7 linked regions of the Canis lupus familiaris genome follow. The protein of the gene in region 1 interacts with the protein of each later gene in a pairwise test. Links are inferred from orthologs where the notes say so. Each region holds a gene or a part of one and is shown on either strand. Other genes may lie near its edges. The genes, in order: TRIM27, USP2, PSMB3, EIF3D, ZGPAT, EHHADH and MRRF.

The links.
Region 2: the proteins of TRIM27 (region 1) and USP2 interact in binary tests that used the Homo sapiens proteins (3 or more experiments, as listed by UniProt). The link is inferred for Canis lupus familiaris from reciprocal best matches to the Homo sapiens genes TRIM27 and USP2.
Region 3: the proteins of TRIM27 (region 1) and PSMB3 interact in binary tests that used the Homo sapiens proteins (3 or more experiments, as listed by UniProt). The two-hybrid records come from large-scale screens. The link is inferred for Canis lupus familiaris from reciprocal best matches to the Homo sapiens genes TRIM27 and PSMB3.
Region 4: the proteins of TRIM27 (region 1) and EIF3D interact in binary tests that used the Homo sapiens proteins (3 or more experiments, as listed by UniProt). The two-hybrid records come from large-scale screens. The link is inferred for Canis lupus familiaris from reciprocal best matches to the Homo sapiens genes TRIM27 and EIF3D.
Region 5: the proteins of TRIM27 (region 1) and ZGPAT interact in binary tests that used the Homo sapiens proteins (3 or more experiments, as listed by UniProt). The two-hybrid records come from large-scale screens. The link is inferred for Canis lupus familiaris from reciprocal best matches to the Homo sapiens genes TRIM27 and ZGPAT.
Region 6: the proteins of TRIM27 (region 1) and EHHADH interact in binary tests that used the Homo sapiens proteins (3 or more experiments, as listed by UniProt). The two-hybrid records come from large-scale screens. The link is inferred for Canis lupus familiaris from reciprocal best matches to the Homo sapiens genes TRIM27 and EHHADH.
Region 7: the proteins of TRIM27 (region 1) and MRRF interact in a two-hybrid assay, tested with the Homo sapiens proteins (2 studies listed by IntAct). The link is inferred for Canis lupus familiaris from reciprocal best matches to the Homo sapiens genes TRIM27 and MRRF.

The regions. Positions count from the first base shown.
Region 1 is NC_049256.1:27,394,762-27,398,261, reverse strand, and holds part of TRIM27 (zinc finger protein RFP), read left to right. Parts: intron 1-1,712; coding exon 1,713-1,735; intron 1,736-3,325; coding exon 3,326-3,441; intron 3,442-3,500. UniProt on the Homo sapiens protein: E3 ubiquitin-protein ligase that mediates ubiquitination of various substrates and thereby plays a role in diffent processes including proliferation, innate immunity, apoptosis, immune response or autophagy.
Region 2 is NC_049226.1:14,550,286-14,554,409, reverse strand, and holds the start of USP2 (ubiquitin carboxyl-terminal hydrolase 2), read right to left. Parts: upstream 2,801-4,124; 5' UTR 2,643-2,800; exon of another isoform or gene 1-2,642. UniProt on the Homo sapiens protein: Hydrolase that deubiquitinates polyubiquitinated target proteins such as MDM2, MDM4 and CCND1. Isoform 1 and isoform 4 possess both ubiquitin-specific peptidase and isopeptidase activities.
Region 3 is NC_049230.1:23,432,526-23,436,025, reverse strand, and holds part of PSMB3 (proteasome subunit beta type-3), read left to right. Parts: intron 1-590; coding exon 591-698; intron 699-3,500. UniProt on the Homo sapiens protein: Non-catalytic component of the 20S core proteasome complex involved in the proteolytic degradation of most intracellular proteins. This complex plays numerous essential roles within the cell by associating with different regulatory particles.
Region 4 is NC_049231.1:28,897,657-28,901,156, forward strand, and holds part of EIF3D (eukaryotic translation initiation factor 3 subunit D), read left to right. Parts: exon of another isoform or gene 1-856; coding exon 857-989; exon of another isoform or gene 990-1,539; coding exon 1,540-1,687; exon of another isoform or gene 1,688-2,460; coding exon 2,461-2,591; exon of another isoform or gene 2,592-3,450; coding exon 3,451-3,500. UniProt on the Homo sapiens protein: mRNA cap-binding component of the eukaryotic translation initiation factor 3 (eIF-3) complex, a complex required for several steps in the initiation of protein synthesis of a specialized repertoire of mRNAs.
Region 5 is NC_049245.1:48,102,665-48,106,681, reverse strand, and holds the start of ZGPAT (zinc finger CCCH-type with G patch domain-containing protein), read right to left. Parts: upstream 2,801-4,017; 5' UTR 2,743-2,800; intron 2,549-2,742; 5' UTR 2,525-2,548; coding exon 1,932-2,524; intron 1-1,931. Other genes in the region: ARFRP1 (ADP-ribosylation factor-related protein 1), read left to right, coding at 3,300-3,392, 3,521-3,608, 3,762-3,844. UniProt on the Homo sapiens protein: Transcription repressor that specifically binds the 5'-GGAG[GA]A[GA]A-3' consensus sequence. Represses transcription by recruiting the chromatin multiprotein complex NuRD to target promoters.
Region 6 is NC_049255.1:18,226,678-18,230,177, reverse strand, and holds part of EHHADH (peroxisomal bifunctional enzyme), read left to right. Parts: intron 1-1,739; coding exon 1,740-1,912; intron 1,913-3,500. UniProt on the Homo sapiens protein: Peroxisomal trifunctional enzyme possessing 2-enoyl-CoA hydratase, 3-hydroxyacyl-CoA dehydrogenase, and delta 3, delta 2-enoyl-CoA isomerase activities. Catalyzes two of the four reactions of the long chain fatty acids peroxisomal beta-oxidation pathway.
Region 7 is NC_049230.1:60,391,866-60,395,365, reverse strand, and holds part of MRRF (ribosome-recycling factor, mitochondrial), read left to right. Parts: intron 1-1,487; coding exon 1,488-1,643; intron 1,644-3,500. UniProt on the Homo sapiens protein: Responsible for the disassembly of ribosomes from messenger RNA at the termination of mitochondrial protein biosynthesis. Acts in collaboration with GFM2. Promotes mitochondrial ribosome recycling by dissolution of intersubunit contacts.

The sequences.
Region 1 (3,500 bases):
CCCTAGGTGGCGCAGCGGTTTAGCGCCTGCCTTTGGCCCAGGGTGCGATCCTGGAGACCCGGGATCGAATCCCACGTCGGGCTCCCTGCATGGAGCCTGCTTCTCCCTCTGCCTGTGTCTCTGCCTGCCTTTCTCTCTCTCTCTCTCTCTCTCTCTCTCTCTGTGACTATCATGAATAATAAATAAAATTAAAAAAAAAAAAAACTTATAAAAAAAAAAAAAAAAAAAGAATTGCCCCAGTAAGGGGCAACTGAGTATCATGTACCTTTAGAAGGATATACCACTGGGTGCCTGGGTAACTCAGTTGGTTAAGTATTGGACTCTTGTTTCAGCTCAAGTCTTGATATCAGGGTCCTGGGATTAAGCCCTGCATCAGGCTCCATGCTCATTGGGGCATCTGCTTCTCCCTCTGCCTCTACCCCTCCCCCCTGCTTGTGCGTTCTGTCTCTCAAATAAATAAGTGAAATCTTAAAAAAAAAAAAAAGAAGAAGAAGAAGAAGAAGAAGAACATACCATACACCAGTTAAAGATGATACAGCCTGGATTTAATCATGAGGGGAATATCTGACAAACTCCAAAGGAAGGATGATATCCTGTAGAATAAACAACCTATATTAAACCAGTGTCAGTGTCACAAAAGACAAATCAGCCCTAAGGAGCCATTCCAGATATGCATGGTGATAGCTGAGTGTGGTGAATGGTCATGGATTACCGAGCAGGGAAGAGAGTAGCTGAAGATCACTTTATTAAGGTGATTGGTTAAGGGCCTGCCTTTGGCCCAGGGTGCAGTCCTGGAGTCCCGGGATTGAGTCCCACGTCAGGCTTCTGGCATGGAGCCTGCTTCTCCCTCTGCCTATGTCTCTGCCTCTCTCTCTCTCTCTCTCTACGTCTATCATGAATAAATAAATATAATCTTAAAAAAAATAAGGTGATTGGTTAAACTAGAGTATGGACTGGGTTAGATAAAGGTTTTCTTAGATCATTGATCATTAGATCCATGTTCCTTATTCTGGATTGAATAACTACTGTGGTTATGTGAGAAAATGTACTTATCCTTAGGAAAAACACACAGAAGTATTAACGGGGCAAAGATACAGCATAGAATGTAAATAGTGATCTCTCAAATGGTTCTGCATATAAATGTGGTTATAAAATCTGGAAAATTGGGGATCCCTGGGTGGCTCGGCGGTTTGGTGCCTGCCTTCAGCTCAGGGTGTGGTCCCGGGATCAGGTCCCACATCAAGCTCCTTGCATGGAGCCTGCTTCTCCCTCTGCCTGTGTCTCTGCCTCTCTCTCTCTCTCTCGAATAAATGAATAAAATCTTAAAAAAAAAATCTGGAAAGTCTGGGAAGGGGTATCCAGGAGCTCTGTACTAGCAGCTTTTCTGTGTATTTGAAATTATTTCACAATAAAAAGTTAAAGCAAGCTGGACAAGTAGGCAGTTGTGGTCTGAGGGTGGGATACTGGAGTTTGGAAATTTGAAATCGTGAGATCCTGGGCCAGTGGGGCAGAAGCAGGACAGAGGAGATGCTGGGAGTGCAAACTGTGCATCTCACTTTGCTCACCCTGACTCTAGGTCCTGGGCTGAGTTGTGGTCCTTGTCTCCCTGGCTTTTCGTAGGAGGGCCAGCTGGTTCCTGGGTTTCCAACCAACATCTGAAGGAAAACTGAAGCTACGAAGGTCTCATGGTTATCTTTTCCTTTCTCTTGTAGGACATCGGGGACACACTGAGCAGGTACGGTGTTCTCTCTCTCCAGTGCTCAGTCACACAGGAGGATGTTTCCCTTAGACTCATAAATCCTGAAAGGAGCCAGAGAAGGACATCTGACGAGAGTGAAACACAGCCTGCCCGTCTCTGGACCAAGTCACTGGTGTGCAGAGAGCTGGATGGACCACAGTTCTGCTTAGTAAACTCAGGAATTACTGACAAACTGCGGGTGAATGAGTACCTGTGATTTGTGAGGACACATCTGTGGAGAGCAAAGGCTCACACAGAGCTGGCCAAAGTGCAAGGGTTTCAGAGTCCTCTCCCCAACTGTATGATGGGGAAAATATGGCCTAAGAGGAGTGTGGGTGGCTCAGAGTTGCAGAATCAGTGCTAACTTACCTGATACAGGCTCCTGTTCTCATTCCTTCTTGGCTGTGTGATCTGATGGGGACGGGGAGGAGCGGGCCAGATGCCAAAGTTCACCTGTGTTTGCAGGACAGACAGGGGCCCATGGGCTGGGGTTTGGTGCAGCAGCATCTACAGGGGCAGAGGCTGACTTAGAAGGAGCTGAACTTTCAGATTGTTTAAAACACTGCACAGTACAAGCCCTCCAGAGAAATGAGCTGGGCCAGGGCCTCATAGATAGAGTAGGTTGGCTGGGAGTGCCACATGGAGAGATTCTGGGGTAAAATCGAGGGTTTGAGGGAGATGAATTGGAGCGTGTCCAGTCCCAGCCAGATGGCCCCAGTGATCCCTGCCCTTACAGTCACTGATGCCGGTCCAGTTCTGGCCTGACATGGGGAGATAGACCCTTCAGAGCCCAGCGTTTTATGACATTAATGTTGGGGTCTGGCTGTATGAGATAGGAAACCAAAAATTTCGTTGGCTTAAAGCTGAAACATAATTTCAGAAATTGCCACCTGTGAGGAAGGTGCAGGTAGGTAGCCAGGGGCGGAGCAGGGAGTTTCCTTCTTTCCGCTCTCCTGCTGTCCTTGAAGTCCCGGTCCAGGATGGTTGCTGGAACGCCAGGCAGCATGAGGGTGATAAGTACGTCACAGCACGCTCCCCCTGAAGTAGGCTTCGCAGATTGCCATGAGACACTCCTTCCCTCTTACTGGCCAGAGCTCAGTCACAGGGTTGCATCTAGACGGGGCAGCCGTGAGCGTGGTGTAACTTGGGAGATGGGATATTGGGGAGGCAGCTGGCAGTCATGGATCATGGACCCCCTGAACAGGGTGGGTGCCAATCTGCCTGAAAAGGGTTCTTACCTCTGGATTGTTGCCCACCATGAAGCTCAAGGACTTTGTCATGGAATCTTTTGCTTTCTGGCACGGTCAGCCTTCTATTCGGTTTAATTCAGTAAACCTTTTTGAGGACAAGCCATTTGAAAATCCATGAGCTAGGTCCTGTTGGGGGAATGGAGATGAGGAAGCTGTTTCTCCTGCTTTTGTCCAGAGGATCACAGTCTAGGCAGAGAAGAGGGAAAAGGCTGTAGGGGCTGCTTTAAACATTGTTGGTCATTTTAACCCAGACTTTGTCTGGGCTTCTGAAGTCATAGGGTTAGAGGAGGGGAGGGATTTACTCCTTTTTTTTTTTTTTTTTTTCTTTTTTTTTTAGAGCTGAAAGAATCCGGATCCCTGAGCCCTGGATCACACCTCCAGATCTGCAGGAGAAAATCCACATTTTTGCACAAAAATGTCTGTTCTTGACGGAAAGTCTGAAGCAGTTCACAGGTAACAGGAAGATAGGGATCCCTTAGGGGAAATGCATTCATGCTCTGAATATCTGTCTT
Region 2 (4,124 bases), on another chromosome or scaffold:
GTGCCGAGCTAGCCACCCACCAGTTGAGTGCCTAATCCTCTTACATGCCTTGGCAGGGGGTCGTTCAAGGGAATTTGGATCCATCTCTTTCTTGCTCCCAATAGTTGCCCAAGGGCTGGGAGAGGAGTGAAGGGATGAGAGAGATTGGAGATGAGGGCAAGGGTCCTAACTGGTGGAGAAGGGAGTAGGCCCAGGGTACTATCTCTATAGCATGCCTTTTGATTTGAGGCTGGGGGGTGGGGGATGAGGGGTAGGCATCTCTACACTTCCAAGAAAAGGCAAAGGAACGGGCCCTGTCGGGAGCTCTCCTGGTGCCCCTTCCACAGGCAGAGTCCCCGTCTCCCTCCCTTTCCTCTTGGGCTTGCCTTTGCCCTGTTCTCCCTGCCTCTGCCTGCCCCCTCTGAGCCTGAGCCTTCCATCTTGCCCCAGGCACCCTCCAGGCCCTGTTGGGCAGCCTCTCACATGCTCCCCCAAACACAAAGGGCTCCCTGGACAGCGGCCCCATGAAGCTCACATACTACACGGGCAGCTACTGACCTGTGTCCGGGGGCACTGGGCAGGATCTGGGGGCTTCTCCTTCCCCAGCAAGGCAGGGAGCGCGGTAGAGAGCCCAGAGGCTGAAGTCTGACTGGGGCTGGGTAATCCGGAGCTCAGGTTACGGACTCCGATATATATAGTATCTTATCTGACCTCACAGAGATGGCTAGCTCAACTCACTTGCATTCCAGGCCAGGGGAGAATTAAAGGGGCAGTGGCCAGCCCTCCCTCGAGGTGTTGCCCCAGTGGGCCACTGCCAGGCAAGGAGATCGTGGGAGGGCTCTTTGGAGGGGGGCATTTTGAAGTGGAACAGAAGAGGGATCCAAGGGGAGACGAATGAAAAGAGGGTAGAGGGATGGGGATGGAATGGAGAGGAAAGGAGAGGAGGAAGCCTCGGTGCTGGTGCAAATCCTCCCTTTTGAGGTAGAGACCTAGAGATCCGGGGTGCACAGGTAGTGACAGGCGGGACCTGCTCTCAGGCATTCGGTTCCAAATTCTTTTATAATGGACTTCTTTCTAGGCCTGGGCTTGTATTCCAGTTCTTTCCCTTTTATTGGCTGAGACAGTGGGCAAGTCATGTAAGCTGTCTGGACCTTAGTGATTTGATCTGTAAAACAGGAGTAAAGAGTATAATAATGCTATATATCTCACCATTGTGAGAATTAAATAATATTTGTAAATTTCCTGGCACATGGTAAAATTTCAATAAATGATAGTAATGATTATGCTGAATACTTCCACTAATTGTTACAATTAATGGGAGTATTTGTAGTTGCACCTGCCACGGAAGCCTTCCTAGGGAGAATAGGGCCTCTGGGCCACCCCTTGGGAGTGCTCAGTTCTAACACTAGACAATAGCCCCGTGGTTTTCTGAGCTGCTCCATGTCCCATAACTGGCAAGGGCCAATGACTCTTGCTATATTCCCAGATGTCCAGCCCATCCAGTGGAGAAGAGCCAGGTCGATTACGGCCCTTTCCCCCTTTGCCTAGAAAAATAAAGCAAGTGCAGCTGCCCCGAGGCTACCAGGAGAAAGCTGCTCTGGGGTGGTTCCACTCTACCTGTCGGAGTGCTCAGGATTCCAAGGCCACAGAGCTGGGCTGGGCAGGCTCACAGGAGGATGGAGCAGGATTCTTTCTTAACCTCTTGGGCCTTGGTGCTCTTGTCTGCTCCCAGTCTGTGTCTCCTGTTTCTCGATGGCTCTCCCTGAGGACTGGGAGTACCCAGGATGGTGCCTCCACCCTGTCTCAGCAGAGGCTACTGACTCAGCTTGGGTCCTGGTGATGCACTTCAGAGGACGCCCTCGTCCCTGGCCCTCATTCCAATCGTCATTCCGACTCCAGTTTGGCACGTATCTACAGTATCAGAGGAGTGGGGGATGCCCCAACCCAGCCTAACCAGCTTTCCTCTCCTCCACTTTGCGGGTTTGGACTCGGGGACCTTCTCATGCCCATGCCTGGGGAGGTGGACATCACCACCATCTCCAGCTCAGCCCCATTCTAAAAGCTGCCAGATGAGGAGGTAGACGTTCACTCGTGGGGGGTGGGGGGGTCCCACCTAGAATGGCTTGGCCAGGGCTTCCCGTGGCTAAGTGTAAGTTACTCGCCCTGGAGCACCGCGTGCCTGCTTCTGGTTTGGGATTGGTGAGAATTTCAAAGATGCCTCTCTCTGGTTTGGGATTGGTGGAAAATCTCCCCCTCCACTTAACTGCTGCCCTCCCCCCACCCCCACCCCTTTGGCAAACTGACCAGAGAGAGCCCGCCGGAGCTTGAACTGGGCGCACACGTGGGGAAGGGGTTGTCAGCGACCAGGCGTCACTCTCAGGCCATACACCACACGGGGCACAGAGCCCCGGACCTGCCCAAGCAGGGTTTCCTTAGAACACAGTGATCAGCACACAGATGGCTCTTCCTGGCACCCCGGGCTGTCAGCTGGCAGCCCCCCCCCAACTGGCGCCCACAGCTGGAGCTCCTCCGCACAGCGGGCGCTCGCCCTACATAGCTGGTGCCCATTCCACCCAGGCTGTCGTTGACACCTCACTTTCTGAGCCTCCGACCGCGCTGACCTCCGCATCCCTCCTCCCCGGTCTCCGACAGGTGGCACATACCTGCCTCTTCTCCGAGGATGGACGAGTGGGGCCGGGCGCAGGCATGGAGCTGCGGGTGAGTCCCGGCTGGTGCTGGCGCGGCGCAGTGAGCAGCGGCTGACGCAGAGGGCTCCCCGGCCTCGCTCCTGCCCGCCTCTCCCCCACCTCCGCCGGGGCCGGGTGAGGACCTCCCCGGGAAATCGGCGCCACCCAGCGGGCAGCCGCCTCATTGCGCCCCGGCCGGCAGAGCCCCACCGCGCGTCTCGCGTCACTGAGACGCGTCACGGCGATTGGCTTGTTCCCAGTGTGACGTCAGGGGAGCCCCGCCCGGCCGGCGTCTCCCAGGCGACGGGTATATACAGAGCGGCACGTGGCGGGAAAGCGGCGCGCGAGCTTGGAGGGGGCGGAGCCGGTGGGAGGCGGGCCCGCGGGGGGCGGGGGGCGGGGCCCGGGCCGCGGGCAGGTAGCGGGGGGAGGCCCGGGGCTTGGGCGCCGGGGGTGTGTGTGAGGGTATGTGTAAGCGTATGTATGTGTGGTGTGTGTGTGTTTGCACGTGTACACACACGTACACACACACAGACCTCAGCTTCCAGGTTTGGGGGAGGCCAAATGCTCCCGCTCCTTCCCACCGGCCTGGGAGGGAGCCTGTTCTTTGCCTCTCCTCCTTTTCTCTCCTCCGAAGCACACTCTGCTCATTTTGCTAACATGGAACCGGTGATTGGTGATGATTGCTGATGGCTCCCTGAGGGGGTAAACAGAGGCACTTAGCGGAAGGGAGTCTTTTTACTTTTTCAAGAAAAGGCCGAGACAGAACTTCGCCTGCCCCCATTCGTTTGTGTCTTCATGGTGTTGAAGAAAATCGCGCAGCCAGGTAGATTGGTGCCAAGGCAAACCCAGGTTTTCTTTTCTTTTTTTTTTTCTTTTCTTCTTCTTCTTATTTCTTTTTTTTTTTTTTAAGATTTTATTTATTTGACAGCGAGCACGAGCAAGGGGAGGGGCGGAGGGAGAGGGAGAAGCAGGCTCTCTGTTGAGCAGGGAGCCTGACAAGGGGCTCCATCCCAGGACCCCAAGATCATGCCCTGAGCCAAAGGCAGACACAACCCACTGAACCACTCAGGCGCCCCTAAACCCAGGTTTTCAATTTCACCTGGCTTGTTGGTTCTTCCAAGTGTCCTTATGTCCTCCCCCGCCCCCATGGCTGCTCTAGCTGGCCATCACCATTCTCAAAGTCCCTCCTTGTCTTCTATTTCCCAGAGAAACTAGGGGCAACCTGGAGGGAAATACTTAAATTTCTGCCTGCAAACATATCCGAATCCATTCTTTTTTAAAAGAATTTATTTACTCGTGCGAGACACACACAGAGAGAGGCAGAAACAGGCAGGGGGAGAAGCAGGCTCCATGCAGGGAGCCCGACGTGGGACACGATCCTGGGTCTCCAGGATCATGCCCTGGGACGAAGGCGGGGGCCAAACCGCTGAGCCACCCAGGGATCCCCCGGAATCC
Region 3 (3,500 bases), on another chromosome or scaffold:
TTGTTTTGTTTTGTTTTTGGTCCACTGCTCTTTTGACTGTCATTTCCCATCTGTGTGTCTGCAGGTAGACTCTTGCCAAGAGTGTAGAGGAGCTGTGTATTTTATGGTATATAAATTGTCCCTCAAGAAAGAGAGGCAAAGGGGATGCCTAGGTGGCTCAGTGGTTGGGCGTCTGCCTTTGGCTCAGGTCGTGATCCTGGGGTCCTGGGATCAAATTCCGCATGGGCTCCCCATGGGGAGCCTGCTTCTGTCTCTGCCTCTCTCTGTGTGTCTCATGAATAAATAAATAAAAATTTTAAAATTTTAAAAAAGAAAGGCAAAATCTGTTCCTTACTTCCCCTCACCTCAGCAAAAGGTATGGGAAGAGAGGTATTACAGAATGGTATGTTTACAGGTGGTAAATGTTGGATAATCTGAAACATGGACGTGAGGCTGGACTTCCGGTGAGAAAAATCACTGGGAGGGAAAGAGAAGAGTCTTGTCAGGGGGAGGCGATTGTGTGTCTCCCTACATACATCCTGACCTCCAGGGGGTGGACACCAGGGGACCATTCACTTGTGACTTACTACCTGACTTTTCTTCTGTCACAGTGCCCAGCGTCTCAAGTTCCGGCTAAACCTGTATGAGCTGAAGGAAGGCCGGCAGATCAAGCCCTACACACTCATGAGCATGGTGGCCAACCTCTTGTATGAGAAACGGTGAGCGGAGTGTAGCCTGGGACTTGGGGAATGCAGAAACCTTGGGCCGAGTAGGCACGTGGTATGGAGAGATGCCTGGGAAGGTTCCTCTGCCTCCCGTTTCTTGTTTGCAGGGTGATAACCTTACTTTTTGGGTCTGTTTTCCATGGGCCTTTCTGATAACCAAATAGGACAGGAACAGTTACTTCAGAAGAAGACAAGGAATGCAAATAGCAGACAAACTTGTTTCCAGGCAACAGAATTAACCCTTCCAGAGAGTGCCCTGGAGTCTCCCAGCCAGGAGCCATCCTGACTCCAGAGCTAATTCTGTTGGCACTAGATTCTCGGGACCTAGGAATGGAGTTTTCTTTGAAGACTTCATGATGAGGAAAGTAAAGGCCTAGGCACAGAATCCAGTGCAGAAGCAGAAATTAAAGAAGAGCCCCACGGGGACTTTTCCACTCATCTCTGGGCTACACTGGGTGGCAGAAAGACAAGTGGGATTCTTTTGTTTTCTTTTTTCTTTTTAAACTTTTTATTTTAAGATAATTTCAAACTTTGTGGAAAAGTTACAGAAGTACTCTTTAGCTCTTACAACTAAGTCTTTGCCATTTCCATACGTGGAGCAATACTGTTGCCTTTTTAGTATACAATCTAAAAACCTATAGGGATCCCTGGGTGGCGCAGCGGTTTAGCGCCTGCCTTTGGCCCAGGGCGCGATCCTGGAGACCCGGGATCGAATCCCACGTCGGGCTCCCGGTGCATGGAGCCTGCTTCTCCCTCTGCCTCTGTCTCTGTCTCTCTCTCTCTCTCTGTATGACTATCATAAATAAATAAAAGTTAAAAAAATAAAAAAAATAAAAATAAAAATAAAAATAAAAATAAAAACCTATAAAACGATTGCGTATTTCTAGGTGTGGTAATATCTATCCTCAGATGTGTATTGTCTGCCATGTATGGTAACCATGTTTATCAAAATCCTGAATTGACAAAGGCCTAAATGATTTTTAAAACTGATTTATAGAGGGGGACAATGTCTTATACAGTCCTAAAGATAACTCACATTTAGGTATATTTGTAATGGCTCATATTGTTGTTTTTAAGTAAATTCTACATAAATCCATCATAGAGCTTGAGTTCACAACCAGGGTAGTGAATTCAGGCCCCACATTGGGTGCACAGATTACTTTAAATAAAAAAGTAAACTTAAGGGATCCCTGGGTGGCGCAGCGGTTTGGCGCCTGCCTTTGGCCCAGGGCACGATCCTGGAGACCCGGGATCGAGTCCCACGTCGGGCTCCCAGTGCATGGAGCCTGCTTCTCCCTCTGCCTGTGTCTCTGCCTCTCTCTCTCTCTCTCTCTGTGTGACTATCATAAATAAATAAAAATTTATTTGAAAAAAAAAGTAAACTTAAAAAAGAAACCCACAAATGGAGTCACATGCTCTACCAACTTAGCTACTTTGTTTATTGAAAATAAGAAAAACGCAGAACATTGAGGCTGACCTGGAAAATTCTAGGTTCTTAGCTAGCCAGGAGCTTTCTCTATAAGCCCAGCTGAAGTCAGTGACTTTCCAGCAGGATAGGCTAGTGCTGTGATTTGCAAATTTGAGCAATGTGCAAAGCCTTTTTCAAAGAAAAAACTTCCCGTGGTCCCAGAGAATCCATCCAAGTACCTCTCTTTGTGAGACATTGTCCGTAAAAGTTATTACATTCGGGTGGAACCTTGGTCAGTGTGACTTGATGTCTAAATGCTGACCCTGAACTGTGTTTTGTATTTAGTTTTAAGATTGTCACTTGAAGGGGCACCTGGGTGGCTCAGTGGTTGAGCGTCTGCCTTTGGCTCAGGTCAAGTCCTGCATCAGGCTCCCCTCTGCTTATGTCTCTGTGTGTCTCATGAATAAATGCAATCTTAAGAAAAAAAAAAAAAAAGTCGCCCAAATAATCTAGAATATTCTTATATGTATTTACAGTTTATTGTAAACTAAATACAGGATTTCAATTTTTTAAAAAGATTTTATTTATTTTAGATAGAGCATGAATAAGGGAGAAGGGCAGAGAGAAAGAAGCAGACTCCCCACTGACCAGGGAGCCCAATGTGGGACTCGATCGCAGGACCCTGGGATGACAACCTGAGCTGAAGGCAGACGCTCAACCACTGAGCCATCCAGGTGCCCCTGGATTTTAAATTTCTTAAATAAGTTGATACCCAGGCATCTGTTCAAGAAACAAGGGTTCAAAGCACACTATCTCAACCCCTTCATGTTACAATTAACTAGGTTTTTGTCTTTAGAATTTTCTTTTGTAGAGCTGTAATTGAAGGTCATACTCTTAGATATTACTGAGAACTGGTATAAGACATGGATAAGTAAAGACAAAACATCTTAGTTACTGTTTCTATTGAGACTAGTGGTCATTAGTTTCTGAGTATTTTTTTTTTTATTTTTTTTAGTTTCTGAGTATTTTATAGAGAGATTCCAGAGATTAATTCTTCTCGAAGCTCAGGATCTAGAACAAGGTTTTGGGTTTTTGTTTTTGTTTTTGTTTTAGATTTTATTTATTCATGAGCAATACCCAGAGGCTGAGACACAGGCAGAGGGAGAAGCAGGCTCCCCATCAGGAGCTCAACGCGGGACTTGATGCAGGACTTGATCCTAGGATCAGGATCACACCCTGAGCCAAAGGCGGACACTCAACTACTGAGCCATCTAACCGTCCCCTAGAACAAGTAACTGATAATCTCCTATTTCCTTGTAGGCACAGGCAGACAAGGAAATAACCCAACTCGATGAGTGTCCTTTGCCTTGCCTGCCAGGAGACTCACA
Region 4 (3,500 bases), on another chromosome or scaffold:
TGTGGACCTGCTGCTGGTGACTTATGTTCCTAAGCCATAGTATTTCCAAAAGAGAATTTGAAGCTGCTAAGACATTGCACAAGATTAATGTGTTTTTAAAAATCAAGGCTAAGGCGAGACTAGGAGAAAGAAGTTCGCTGATGTTAAACTTGAGAGATTTCTTTCCACTTCCTGGCATCGTGAGCAAAAGAGAAATCAAGTTGTGTGGCTCTTTTGGCAAGAAGAGAGAGTAGTTTGTCAGAAGCAAAGCTTTTCCTGACATTACAAAGAGCTGTTTACCTCAAGTAGCAGATCAATGTCAGTGGGGACCGGAGTACCAGGTTAGAAGTCAGTGCATCTGGAGGCCTCTAGAACTACCTGTCTCTTCATCTTGGCCTCAGTCACCATGTCATTAAAATGTGGAGGTTGAGTCAATCAGTTTTGTTCATGCTGCTCTGTGGGGCCATATCCAGAGCTTAGGGGACGGGCCCTGAGTGAACTCTGAGAACTTGTCTTCTGTTCTCATCAAAGAAAAACCATTTCTTATTTTTTAGATTTCTGGATAAGAGTTTGGATTCAATGTCTTTTCGTTTTAAGATTTATTTTAGAGAGAACGCACACAAGCAAGGGGATGGGCAAAAGGAGAGGGAGAGAATCTCAAGCAGGCTCTGTCTCCCTGCTGAGTGTGGAGCCTGATATGGGCTTGATCTCACCACCCTGAGTTTATTACCTGAGCCAAAATTCAGAGTTGGCTGCTTAGTGGACTAAGCGACCCAGGCACCCTTCTATAATGGCTTTTAAAATACAAACAAAAAATAACAAAAGCAGCTGATGATCTTCCCGTTTCCTTTGTGTGTCTTCTCCACTGTCCCGTCAGCGAGTGTTGTGGTGCCCTGGAGTACTACGATAAAGCCTTCGACCGCATCACCACGAGGAGCGAGAAGCCGCTGCGGAGCATCAAGCGCATCTTCCACACTGTCACCACCACAGATGACCCTGTCATCCGAAAGGTGGGCACCCTGAAGGAGTGCTGCTGGCTTCTACAGTTGAGGCTGCAGAAGGAACAGCACACAGGCACATCCATGGATCTTGGGACCTCAGAAACCCTTTTAGACAAGATGCTCCCAAACGGGACAGGACTAGATGGGAATACAGGCACCTTGCTGGCTACACCATAATGTTGGGGTTAAGCGGAGGTGGACTCGAATCCCAGCTCTACCGGGCTCCCCCGCACCACCTACCTGAGGCCTTTTTTGCTTACCCATGAGATGGGTTGAATGTGCTTACCACCAGCCACTGGAGGCAGGACGAAAGCACTGCAAGGTGCCATCCTGGAATATGGCAAGTGCTCAGAGAGCTGCAGTCCCTGTATCCCAGGGTGGTGACTGGCCATGGAAGCTTGTGGGCTGGTTTGCCGGACTCACCCCTTAAGACAGGTTAGAGGGGTGTGCACGTGTGCTTGAAGGCAAGAAAGCTCCCTGCAGGGGAGTCCTCCGTGCACGTGGGCTGTTTGGCCTAAGTGTATCTTCACATCTCTCTTTCTCTCTGTCCTCTTTGCAGCTGGCAAAAACCCAGGGTAATGTGTTTGCCACTGATGCCATTCTGGCCACACTGATGAGTTGCACCCGCTCCGTGTATTCCTGGGACATTGTTGTGCAAAGAGTTGGGTCCAAGCTCTTCTTTGATAAAAGGGACAACTCTGATTTTGGTAAGAAGCCTGTCTGGGAGCAGCACAAGGTGTCAGGTGTTCTGTTGGTTTCGAGCAAGTCCCTGCTACTAGAGAGTGGACGGGAAGTGGTCTGTGTCCTCACAAGCACTGATGGCTGCAGCTGAATCCCTCCCCGCCTCCTCAGCGAAGGCCTGTCATGCACTACCTCCTCGAGGTGCCAGATTTCTGAGTCCTCCCATAGCCCCAATACTATGTGTGCAGGTGTTACTCATTTGAATGGCATTTTCCTGGCTTCTGTCAATGCTCCATACCACCTTTAACATTTATTCCATGTTTTCTTTAAATTAATGTTTCTTTTACCTTTATTTCAGTGTATTTATAAAGGGAAGATTACATGTGCATGTATTTGATAACAACATAAATGTGTATAGACACACCATGAAGGGAAACCATGTCACTGAAATTTGATAGCAGTGAGATGGAATGATATAATTACATTCCGCACCAGAGGCTTAGGACCTTCTTCTTGTTAAAAAGCTGACAAAATCAGATATTATTTTGAGGAATCCAAAGGGACTGAAAGGGGATCGTTGTCTTATGATGTGCTTGAATTTAATGTTAGAGAGGATCCGAAGTTACCCAGTAGTGCTTCCTGCTTCCTCGCCTCTGCACCCCGCGCTTGGGAGAGCTGGGTTAGCAGATGCTGGAAGGATGGGCCTGTGTTGCTGGGATCGTGGCCCCTCCCTGCATTGCCAGGCACATTGTTGATGACTCGGTTTCGCTGGTGGGTGACCACGCTGCCACTTTTGCAGACCTCCTGACAGTGAGTGAGACTGCCAATGAGCCCCCACAAGATGAAGGCAATTCCTTCAATTCACCCCGCAACTTGGCCATGGAAGCAACCTACATCAATCACAACTTCTCCCAGCAGTGCTTGAGAATGGTAAGGCGGAGAGAGCATCTGGGCACCAGATTCTCTTTTGTCCCCTTCCCAGTGTCCCCATTGAATATCTGCGTTGTGGTAGGCTGTGGGGTTGTGGGACTGAGCAGGGGCAGGCATGGTCTCTTCCTGTCACAGAAGAGCTCCAAGCTGTGGCTTTGAGGTCAGACTGCCTGACTGAACCCTAGATTCACCACTTCAGAGCTTTGTGGTGTGTGGTATGTTTCTTCTCTATAGGGTTAAAATACTAAGCATACCTGTCTCAGCCAGACAGGATGTAGAGGTTCTTTCAGGTGTTTGACAAACTTGCTGATTTATTTATTTATTTACTTATTTATTTATGATAGAGAGAGAGGCAGAGACACAGGCAGAGAGAGAAGCCCGCTCCATGCACCCGGAGCCCGACATGGGATTCGATCCCGGGTCTCCAGGATCGCACCCTGGGCCAAAGACAGGCGCCAAACTGCTGTGCCACCCAGGGATCCCCATGCTGTTTTATACAATATACTGTTTAGGTGCTGGAGATCTAGTAGTAATAAGCAAAGTTTCTGCCCTTAGGAGGCTTCATTATAACAGAAAGGAAAGATAGTAAACTAAACAAACCTATGTCATGTCGAGTGGTGGCATGTACTCTAGAAAAAGTGAAACAGGACAGTGGTCAGTCATGGCTGCGAATTCAGATACAGGGGGTCTGTGCTTGAAGTTGGGAGGAGTAAGCAGCCCACGACATAGTGCATGTGGAGCCCACCACCCCCTCAAGGGCTGCAGGGAGCCAGCCAGGACTGTAAGCTGAGTGCAGGGGCTGGTCCATGGGCTCAGCCACGGGTGCTTGCTGTCTCGTGACACCCTTGTCTGTTGGCAGGGGAAGGAAAGATACAACTTCCCTAACCCAAACCCATTTGTGGAGGACGA
Region 5 (4,017 bases), on another chromosome or scaffold:
TCCATTGTCCCAACAACTATGAAAGACAACTCTCGTTTGTTTTACAGATAAAGAAATTGAAATACAGACCTTAAGCTATAAAAAATGAACGAAAAAATACTGTATCTCACTAGGAACCAAGGAAACACAAATTCAACCATGATCCCATTTTCCCAGCGCTCAGCAGGCAGGAATCGGCAGTGATAGAGAGGATGAGGGACGAGGCACCGGCCTTCATACGGAAGCGGGAACTCTGCACACTCTCGACACACCGGTCCCATACTAGGGAAATTCTCAGGCAGGTACAGAAGAAGACGCTACTAAGATGTTCACAGCAAGCTGTTTGTAACAGACAAAAACTGGAAAACATCAGAAAGGAACATAATAAAATGTGGCACATTTGTGAGAGAAAAGAACATAGCAGTTAAAACCAATTAAACAGCTCTGGAGATACCAGCACAGATGCCCTCTCACATCCCTGCTTAGTGAAAAAAGCAAGTTGCAAAATAAACCATCCTGTGTGACACCATTTGTTTCAAAAGTAGCACAAAAAGTTACTCTTCTCATATAGGCTCCTGTCTGCGGAGAGCTAACATCTGCTAGAGGTAAACACAAGGGAGTTGTGATCACAGCCTGGGAGGAGAAGGGGCTGTGACACAGCTATTTTTAAAAATACAAAGCAGGGGCGCCTGGGTAGCTCAGTGGGTTACTGAGCTAAGAGCGTCTGCTCAGGTCCTGCTCAGGTCCTGATCTCAGGGTCGGCTCCGAGCTGAGCAGGGAGTTTGCTTGACATTCTCTCCCTCTCTCCTTCTGGCTCTCCCTACACGGAGGGTGCATACTCCCTCCCTCTCTCTCTCACAAATAAATCTTTAAAAAATAAATAAAATAAAAATGCAAAGCAATGCAAGAAAAGCGTTGATCTGTCTGGCAGTGGCAAGTGGCTGTCGTAGGCTGTGCCAGTCGGGCCTATAGCTAACACAACAGAGCAAGGCACAGCAGTTGGGGGCCGAGGCAAAGCTAGCCTGTGCCCGCTGCAGGCTCGCTCGTGCCGCCGTCTGTGCCAGGCAACCTTAGCCGTGGTGGGGCCCACCCCTGGGGCTTGCTGCACGGAGGGGTCAACACACGTGAAACTCCTGGCCCGGAGCCTGGCCTAGAGGAACAGCACACGGACACGTCAGCTCTCATCGTCACAAGGGGCATCACCCGGGCCCGTGGAGGCACCCAGAGGGTAACGGCAGAGAGGACGAGAGGGCTTGCTGGTCTGTTCTCTGACCTGTTTGTTCAGCAGCACATGGATGGGTCTGCTTTGTGAAAACTCCAGTACGTTTCATGATTTACGCACCTTCCCGTACGGGTGCCACACTGTAATCAGACTTACAAGGAAAGAAAGGATTGTGGAAAATCGTGTTAAAGGACGCTCTGGACCCAGCAACGGTCCGTAAGCAAAGACAAAGACCAAAGGACTAGAGAGAGTTTCCCTGGGTTATTGACTCAAAAAGAAAATCATCTGCAAGACTTGGTAAACATTCCTTCCACAGATGGAAGCGATAAGGAGCAAAAGCCGAGTCGGGCATTTTAAGGAAAGAGTGACACCGTTGCCACAGTCGTGTGAATCTCATCATGAACAAGATCCAACTTACGGATTTGTCAGGGATGCGACCCTTGAGCATCGATTGATGAAAGAAAAAAAAAAAAAAGAAACCAGTGACTTCTACGGTTTCCTTTACACGGTGCAGGCAAACAAGAGGAAGACAAAGGAGAGAGCAAACACGAGCCTGGCAAGGAAGGGCTGATCAGCGGCGAAGGGGGCAGCGGGCGGCCCCACGCCGGGCCCTGCGGGGCTGCGACACTGCATTTTGCAAGCTTCCCCCGAAAGAACCAGAGCAGCGAAGGGTGGGGCACCGTGCCTCCCAGGACGGCGCGGCCTACCTGCGCCCCTGCCCCGGACTCACCTGCAGCTGTCCTGGAAGCGGCACTTGCCCTCCAGGAAGAAGGGGCAGGGCTTCAGGGACTTGTGCGTGGGGTAGAGGTAGAGCACCCGCACGCCCGCAGAGCCGTCGCGCGCCGCCTCGGTGCCCACGATCATGGCGTTGTGGTACTCCAGCGTGCCCCAGGAGCTGTAGTACGGCGCGTTCACCTTGCGGCCGCTCAGCGCCTCCTCCTCGTCGCCGTCCTCGTCGCCGGCCCGCTCCTCCTCCCCCTGCCCGGGCCCGCTGGGTGCCGGCTCGGGCTGGCGCTCGCGCTCGGGAGCCGTGTCCGGCGCGGCCCCGGGGGCTGCGGGCGCTGCGGGCCCCGCCTGCTGGGAGCCCCGGCTGTCGGCGTCGCCCGGGGCCGCGCGCTCCCCGTCCAGCGCGGCCAGCAGCTTGCTCTTCCGGACGGACACCAGGCTGGCCTCGGTGAGCTCGATGAGCTCCTGGAGGTCGCCGCGCAGCTGCCGCAGGTCGGCCAGCTCCGAGGGCTCCAGGCCGGCGCCCAGCGCCAGCTCCACCTGCTGCAGCTGCGCGTCATAGGTGTGCAGCGCGGCCTGCAGGCTCTCCTCGTCCATCCTGCGGCCCGGCGGGCGGCGCGGCTGCAACGACGGGGAGCCGCTGAGCGCCGCGCCGCCCCCCGCCCCGCCCCGCCCCCGCCGCGGCCCGGCCCGCTCCGCCCGCCCCGTCGCCTCGGGCCCCGGCCCCGTCGCCCCAGACCGCGCCCCCTCGCCCGGGCCGGGCCCCGCCTCCGCGCGGGCTCCGGGCCGCCGCCATAGAGCCCCGCCGGCCTCACCGGCTAGAGCGGCCGGCGCCCCCGCCTCCGCCCTCGCAGCCCACCGGCACTTCCTCCCGGGCGCCGCCGCCGCCGGAAGTGCCTCGCGCGGGGGACGCCGGGACGCGGCGCGCGGGGAGCGTCGGGACGGCCCCTCCCCCCCGCGGCCTGCGTCCCGTCGGGCGCCGCGCGAGGTCAGCGCGGGGTCGGCGCGGGTCGGCGAGGTCAGGCGCGGGCGGCTCCGCGGCCCCGACGGGCGCCAGGTAGCGCGGGCCGGTCGCCCCGGGGCGGGGGGGGCGGGGCGGGGCCTCGGGGGCCGCACCCGCCGTCGGGCCGCGACGCCCGCCGGCCGCCGCCTCGCAGCCCGGCTTCGGGGGGGGGGGTTCGGACGCCGCCAGGGGCTCCCGCTGCGCGGCCGCCGGGCACCTGCTGGGGCGGGGGCGTCGTCAGCCCGGGGAGCCTGACGTCACGGCGGGCCTTCGGGGGCGGGGGCGCGGGGGGAGGGGGAGGGGAGGGGGGGGAGGGGAGCGCCCCGGCTCCCAGCCCGCCGCGACCGCCGCCTCCGCTGCGCAGGCAGGATGTACACGCTGCTGTCCGGCCTCTACAAGTACATGTTCCAGAAGGACGAGTACTGCGTCCTGATCCTGGGGCTGGACAATGCGGGCAAGACGGTGGGTGCCCGCCCCCGGCCCTCCCCCTCCGGGCGGCCCCGCCCGCCCCCACGCGCCCCCCGCCCGCCCGGGACGGACACCGGACACCGGGGAAGCCGCCCTCACCTCCCGCGCGCGTCTCTTCGCAGACGTTCCTGGAACAGTCGAAAACCCGCTTTAACAAGAACTACAAGGGAATGAGTCTCTCCAAGATCACGACCACCGTGGGTCTCAACAGTAAGGCCCCCCCCCCCCCCCCCGGGGCGGAGGGCTTGGGGGGCCGCCCGGGCCGCCTCGGGGAGCCCAGAGCCGCCCGTCCCTGGCCTGGCCGGGAGGCGGCGCGTGGCAGCGGGTCCCCAGCCTGTGCTGTCCTCTGTCCTCTCCCCGCAGTCGGCACTGTGGACGTGGGAAAGGCTCGCCTCATGTTTTGGGACCTGGGGGGCCAGGAAGAGCTGCAGTCGCTGTGGGACAAGGTAAGCCGGCCGTGCCCAGGCCGCCCCTCGCACCGCTTCCTCCAGGGACACCCCCGGCCCAGCCTCCCCTCAGCTCCGTCCCCCACTGTGTCCCTGAGGCTCCCCCCAGCCCTGTCCCAGCTCCCCCGTTGCCCCCACCCTCGAGAGCGAGGACCTGCCAGTTCCCTTTTAAC
Region 6 (3,500 bases), on another chromosome or scaffold:
TTTTTTCTGCATATTAAATCAATATCCAAAAATTAATTGCATTTCTATATGCCAGAAATACACAGTGAAAACATGAAATCACTGTACTCTTGTTTGTGCCTTGGTTTCTGTAAAATGGAATAAAAGTACTAACCTTACACTGCAAGTAGAAGAATGCAGTATACATTTAAGAATGTGGGCTATGTAGTTAAATTGCTGGAGTTCAAGTTCTTATTCTACCCATAATTAACTGCTCATGTGTTTGAACTACCACCTAACAGCACAAATCCTTAACTTCCTGACCTGTGAAATGAGGATCATTATACTACTTAACCTAGGTGTTAAGAAAATTAAATAAAAGAGCATCAGAAACTACTTAGCATGGTGCCTGGTGTAAAGTATTTATCCAATACATGCTAACTGCTATTAGGACATGAAAATCATTTAAATCTAAAGTTACAGGACTGATAGGCCTAAGATGCAGGTTGAAATAGATCTTGTTACTCTCTTTTTTAAAAAATATTTGATTTATTTATTCATGAGAGACACAGAGAGAGAGAGAGAGAGAGAGAGGCAGAGACACAGGCAGAGGGAGAAGCAGGCTCCATGCAGGGAGCCTGGTGTGGGACTTGATTCCGGTACTTTGGGATCATGTCCTGAGCCAAAGGCAGACACTCAACCACTGAGCCACCCAGGTGTCCCATAGATCTTGTTTCTCTTAAACCAAAAAGGAATCTACATAACTATGACAATAGATTAGAATGTGAATATGATAGATTGGTAAGAAAAAAACATAATGCTAGGTAAGGAGTGGGTAGAAACAAAAAGATGAATAGCCTGAATGTGAAATAATTGCTTTAACTTTTTAACGTATACCAAGCTTAATGTTTTTAAAGAGTAGATAATCAATAGGGAAAATGCTCAGTATTTATAATGTTATGTAGAAAAAGGAAAATATGAAAAATAATGTTACAGAATGCTGTCAATATTGTTAAATATATATTATAGTATACTTCCGCTTAATTCTCTGGTAAGTCATTTAAGGCAGGTGTTGAGGGCAGCCTGAGTGGCTCAGTGGTTTAGCGCCTGCCTTAGGCCCAGCGTGTGATCCTGGAGACCCAGGATCAAGTCCCACGTCGGGCTCCCTGCATGGGGCCTACCCAGCACTCCACCTCACAACCCTGAGATCATGACCTGAGCCGAAACTAAGAGTTGGATGCTGAACCGAATGAGCTACCCAGGGGCCCTTGACTTTTTAAATTTTTTTAAAGGTAGAGTTGTTATCTGTCACATGGAAAGACAGATTTTATTTTATTTTATTTTATTTTATTTTATTTTATTTTATTTTATTTTAGATTGTATTTATTCATGAGAGACACACAGAGAGAGAGGCAGAGACACAGGCAGAGGGAGAAGCAGGAGGAAGAGCAGGCTCCATGCAGGGAGCCTGACGTTGGACTCGATCCCAAGTCTCCAGGATCAGGCCCTGGGCTGAAGGCAGCACTAAACCACTGAACCACCCGGGCTGCCCTGGAAAGACAGATTTTAGAAGATTACAGGATTCCTGGTCAAGATTTGAGGATTTTCTCCCATGTTGTTCTACATTTTCTAGGTTGATTTTCCTTCACTGTGTGTCCAACTAAAGAATAAAATGTTTCATGGGCCCAAAGAGGTTCCTTGAGAGTTATCTGTTACATAATTGTTATGTTAACAAAGCCCAGATCTTTCTCAGCTCTCTTTTTCTTTGTCTATGTCCTTAGGTGCTGATATCCACAGCTTTGGTGAGCCCAGAAAGTCTGACTTTGTACTAGGACATATAGTAGATGAAATACAGAGAACTGAGAAGCCCGTGGTGGCAGCTATTCAAGGCCTGGCTTTAGGAGGGGGACTGGAGCTGGCGCTGGGCTGTCACTATAGGATTGCTCATGCAGAGGTAACAGCTCAAGCTCGATATGGGGCTTGGTGTGGGAGGCTTTTTTTTAAGTCAAAATCTAAATGCTGTGTAAGCCTCAGAGGTGAGCATTTTAAAAGACTAGTTCACTGGTTGACAACTCCTGTATTTTTAGTGATGGTTTTTCAGCTGTCACATACCAGCACAGTAGTAGTAGTTGAAATATGACCATTCTAATGGGTAAATAGCTATTAGTCTGAGCCTGTGACTGTTCCTTTGCTTTCCCTAACCCTAGTCTTTGGGTTTCCCCAAGATCCACCAACTAAAAGGGAACTCCTGGGCCAGTACAGGGCCCCCAGGACTCTGCTTCAGTGGTATGGTCACATTCGGTTCATCTGAGCTGTGTTCATGAGATAAAAGGTTTAAAGTATTTTGACTATCATTCCTGAATATGCTTACTTATTTAAATTTTTATTTCCTATCTCAAAGGTTTCAGTTTTGTGGTCCCTCATAATTATCAGTACCCAGGAAGACAATTTCCTATTTGAAAATAGCACAAAACTGTAAATCTATTTGTTTCTAATAGATTGTAAATAGATTTAATTTGTCCTTTTAGATATGTAGATGAGGTCTGTGATACCAATCTTATAATGGTAACATTTTTGCAAGTAACATATTTTTCTACTTATAAAGATAACATTGATCATTGTAATAGACTAGGAAATACAGGAAACTATAAAGATGTAAACTAAAATCACCATATACTCACAGTTCGGAAATAACCACTGTTTGCATTCTATTTTGTTCTCTTCTGGTATTTTTCCTATTTAATATTTTGTCCTTACAGCTTTTTTTTCTTTGCTATCTTTTTAAAGTTTTATTTATTTATTTTAGAGAGAGAATGAGAATGTGCACACATGTGCCAAAGTGGGGGAAAGGCAGAAGGGAGAGAACCTTTAGGCAGACTCCCCACTGAGCTCAGAGCCCTGCTCAAGGCTCGATCTCACAACCTATGAGATCATGACCTGAGCTGAAACCAAGAATTGGACACTTAACTGATTGAGCCACTCAGGCTCCCCTAATTTGCCTTCACTTTCAAAGCTAGTTTTGCCAGGTATAGAATTATTGTTTGACAGGTTTTTTTCTTTCAGTGCTTTGCCTATGTCATCCCACTGCCTTTTGGCCTCCATGGTTTCTGATGAGAAATTTGCTGTTAATCTTATTTTAAATAGTCTTTAAAAATATTGTTTTAAATGGATGTATAGTTTTGTTATATATATATATATGTTATATATATATGTTACATATATATATATTATTTAACCAAATCCTTATGGCATTTTAATTTTTATAAAGGCTTATGAATAAAGACATATATCCTAAGTGCTTGTTTTTCTGTGTCCCTCTTACCATGCCTTCTGCATACTGAGTGCAGACCTAAGTTATGAACAATAATAGGTCGATGGATGGGGATGATCAGTAGTGGAAAAAACCATGACTGACTGTTAGGAAAGCCTTGCAAGAGAGAGGCTCAAATATTTATTTTGAGCTTTGTGCAGGGGCAGTATCATAGCCAATGAAGTTTATCAAAAAATTTTTGAAGCTATTGGCATCACAATATGGGTTAATG
Region 7 (3,500 bases), on another chromosome or scaffold:
TCTCTGCGTCTCTCATGAATAAATAAATAAAATCTTAAAAAATATATATATACTCTAGAAATATCACAGGATCTGGCCCACTGTAGATGTTCAATGAAATTTGTTGTGAATAAATCTCAATAAATATTTGTCAAATAGGGATCCCTGGGTGGCGCAGCGGTTTGGCGCCTGCCTTTGGCCTGGGGCGCGATCCTGGAGACCCGGGATCGAATCCCACGTCGGGCTCCCTGCATGGAGCCTGCTTCTCCCTCTGCCTATGTCTCTGCCTCTCTGTCTCTCTCTGTGTGACTACCATGAATAAATAAATAAAATCTTTAAAAAAAAAAATTTGTCAAATAGTTAACAAATGTAAGATAGTATTACTTAGTATTTTTACTTTTTTTTTTCCCCTTCACCTACTTTCCATGAAGAAAGGCAGGAATATTTGTATTACTCATGGGAGTGATCTATATATATAGAATGTATATGGAAAAAGAACTGGTGGCTTAGGCATAAAATCAAATTTTATTCAGCTGCCATTGCTATTGATTTTCTGAAATACAAACCATTGTTATTACCACTAGTGGTGTTTATTTTATTATTTTTTAAAGATTTTATTTATCTACTCATCAGAGAGCACGCGCGCGCACACACACGAGAAGGGGGGGCGGGCTGGCAGAGACACAGGCAGAGGGAGAAGCAGGCTCTATGCAGGGAGCCCGATGCGGGATTTGATCTCCGGACTCCAGGATCATGCCCTGGACCGGAGGCAGGTGCTAAACCGCTGAGCCACCCAGGGATTCCCCCACTAGTGGTGTTTAATATTTGTTAACTACTGTTGTTCTTTTTATCTGTCCTGGCTATCAGATACTTTGCATATCCTCCCTTAGTATTCATTTTAAAATGAATTAATATGTTTCCTGTGTCTCCAATTAGATTTTTCAGAGACAATCTAATGGAAAGTTCTTGGATTTAAAATTAGACAGATCTGGGACCAAATCTTGGCTTTACAATTCCAGGACCTTATGACATTAGGCAAATCACTTTACCTTTCTCATTTTCAGTTTATTTTTCTAAAAAATAAGGAATTCATTTATGGAGTGCCTGCCATATGGACAGTGCTCTTTTAGGTATTTGAATTACTTAATTTGTATCATAGCAACCTGGCAGTACAGATATTATCCCTGTTTCACAGGCAAGAAACCCGATACTCAGAAAAGTAGAGTAACTTGCCCAAAGTCATAAAACTGGTATTCATCATAGTCAGGATTTTCACCTGAAGTATTTCATTATAAAACCTGTGTCTTCACTAGTATCTCAGAAAGTGATTAGCACAGTTCTGGGGACCTAGTGAACAATAATTAAAGTTCTTTCTTAGGATACTGTTAATGTACAATTTTTTAGCACTTGGCATTTTTTCCCTGCACTTAGTAGGTACTTCTTCACTAATTGTTTATTATCTCTGTCTATGCTGCTGTTCTTTTATTCAATGATTGTTGACTTTCTAGCCAAAGGGAAAGGACAGTTCCAAACCAGAGTGAATCTTAATGCTGCCTTGGTTGAGGATATAATCAACTTGGAAGAGGTGGATGAAGAAATGAAGTCTGTGATGGAAGCACTCAAAGATAATTTCAATAAAACTATCAGTATAAGGACCTCACCAGGTTAGTGACTGAACCAAAGTTTTGGAGAGGGGCATAGTGGAAAGATCATGGCTTTGGCAGAGCTGGGTTTCAGTCCCAGTTTTGTTACTTACTTACTAACTGGTGACCATGGACAATTACTTTACTTTTCTGGTCCTCAGTTTCCTTGTCTAATTCCTACTTTATATCTTTGGGGTAGGTATTAAAATAAATACAGAATGGTTGGAGCACAGTGCCTGGCTCATAGTTAACAGTAATACCTGATTCATCCATTTAGCAAATATTTGTCTACTCTGAAGTAAGTATTATGCTGGTACACAGTAGTGAACAAAAAATAGGCATAGTCTTTGCTCTCATGGAATTGCACTCTCAGAAAATGGGAGTTTTATTATGGTTATGCTATATAAACATTTTTGGGTATTTAATCTCACAGTAACTGACATCTTTGGTCTGATTTTTCCGATTTATCCTATTTGGCCATTCTTATGGCTTTCTGGGAACCAAGTGGCTGCAAACCTATCCATCTGAGGCATATCTGTACCCCTGAGTTTGACCAGGAAGATTCCGTTTGGGTTAATAACTTCCTGAAAGTGGCTTTTCTAAGTGGGAAATGTCAGAACTGTCTAGGAGAACTGTTTGCAGATGTGATGGAAGAAGTGAGTTGTCAGCTAATGGTGCAGGCAGGCAGGAAAAATCCAATTGCTATTAAATTGGCCTTTTGGAAATTGTCATCATCCTAGAGTCAAGCCTGAGACCCCCTCTGAAGTTATCTCTGGGAGCTTGGGCTGCTCCCACTCACATCTTGGTTGGGATAGTTCCTAAGGAAACTAGAAAATATTTTGTGAACTTGTTCTTAAGAAAACCAAGTGAAAAATATACAGCTCCATTTATAAACACCAGGAGAAACATACTGAGTTCAGAGAGACGAGATCCTATGTGAAATCAGAAGACCATTCCGTCATTTGTCAAACTTTGGACTAGGGCATTTCTGCCTTTGCTGGCAGTAGAGCGTGCCATTCAATCTCTCCCAACTGTTTATTTTAAACTTGCTTATTATTTTAGGTATGAAACTGATAAAGTGCTTTGTCTCCCCTGTGCTTTCTGGCCTGTTAACATTCTGCAGCCGAAACCAGAGAGCAGTTTGAGAGGAGCTCAGGGAGAAATGTGATACTTAAAATTAGCCAGCAAGCTCCACTCTTGTTGAACTTAAAAAGATGATGGGCCTGGAAAGAGGTAGGGAGTGTAATTTGTTAAATGTTAACCTCTGAGAAAATGAGGGGCAGAAATGAGGCTGAGGGAGATTCTCGCTGGGGACAGATTGAGGGAAAAGGATTTGATGCATTATGTCGATATGTATTTAGGGAATGGGAACCACCACAATTGCATACTGAAAAGCCCACGTTGCAACTTCTGTGGCAAAGGATCTTATGGCAAATCAGGAAAGCTGAGCTAAGATCCATTTTCAAAAGGCCTCCCATTGGTATTTCCTCTTTGCCTCCTTCTCTTCAGGGTTATGTTTGTGTAACGTTCTCCGTAGAACTTGGGGCCATGAAGAGACTGGGTGAAACTGAACTTAGCCAGTCTTCTGCATGCCAAATTTTACATATCCTCTTTCATTACTATCCGAACCAGCAGGCACTTTTCCTTTCACACCTCCAGCTGTCTACCAGCAATTTCTATCTCTAAAGAAGTTGATTGCTCTTAATAGTTGTCTAAGGTATAGATTTATTCATGTGTTTGTTCTTACCCTTTTCCATTCATTTGTCCATCTACACACTTATGTATTCACCAAAATGTTATTGAGCACTTACACTGTGCTGATTAATAGGTGCTGTAGATACAGAAAGAAAAGACATTGTTCCTACCTTCCAAGAGCCT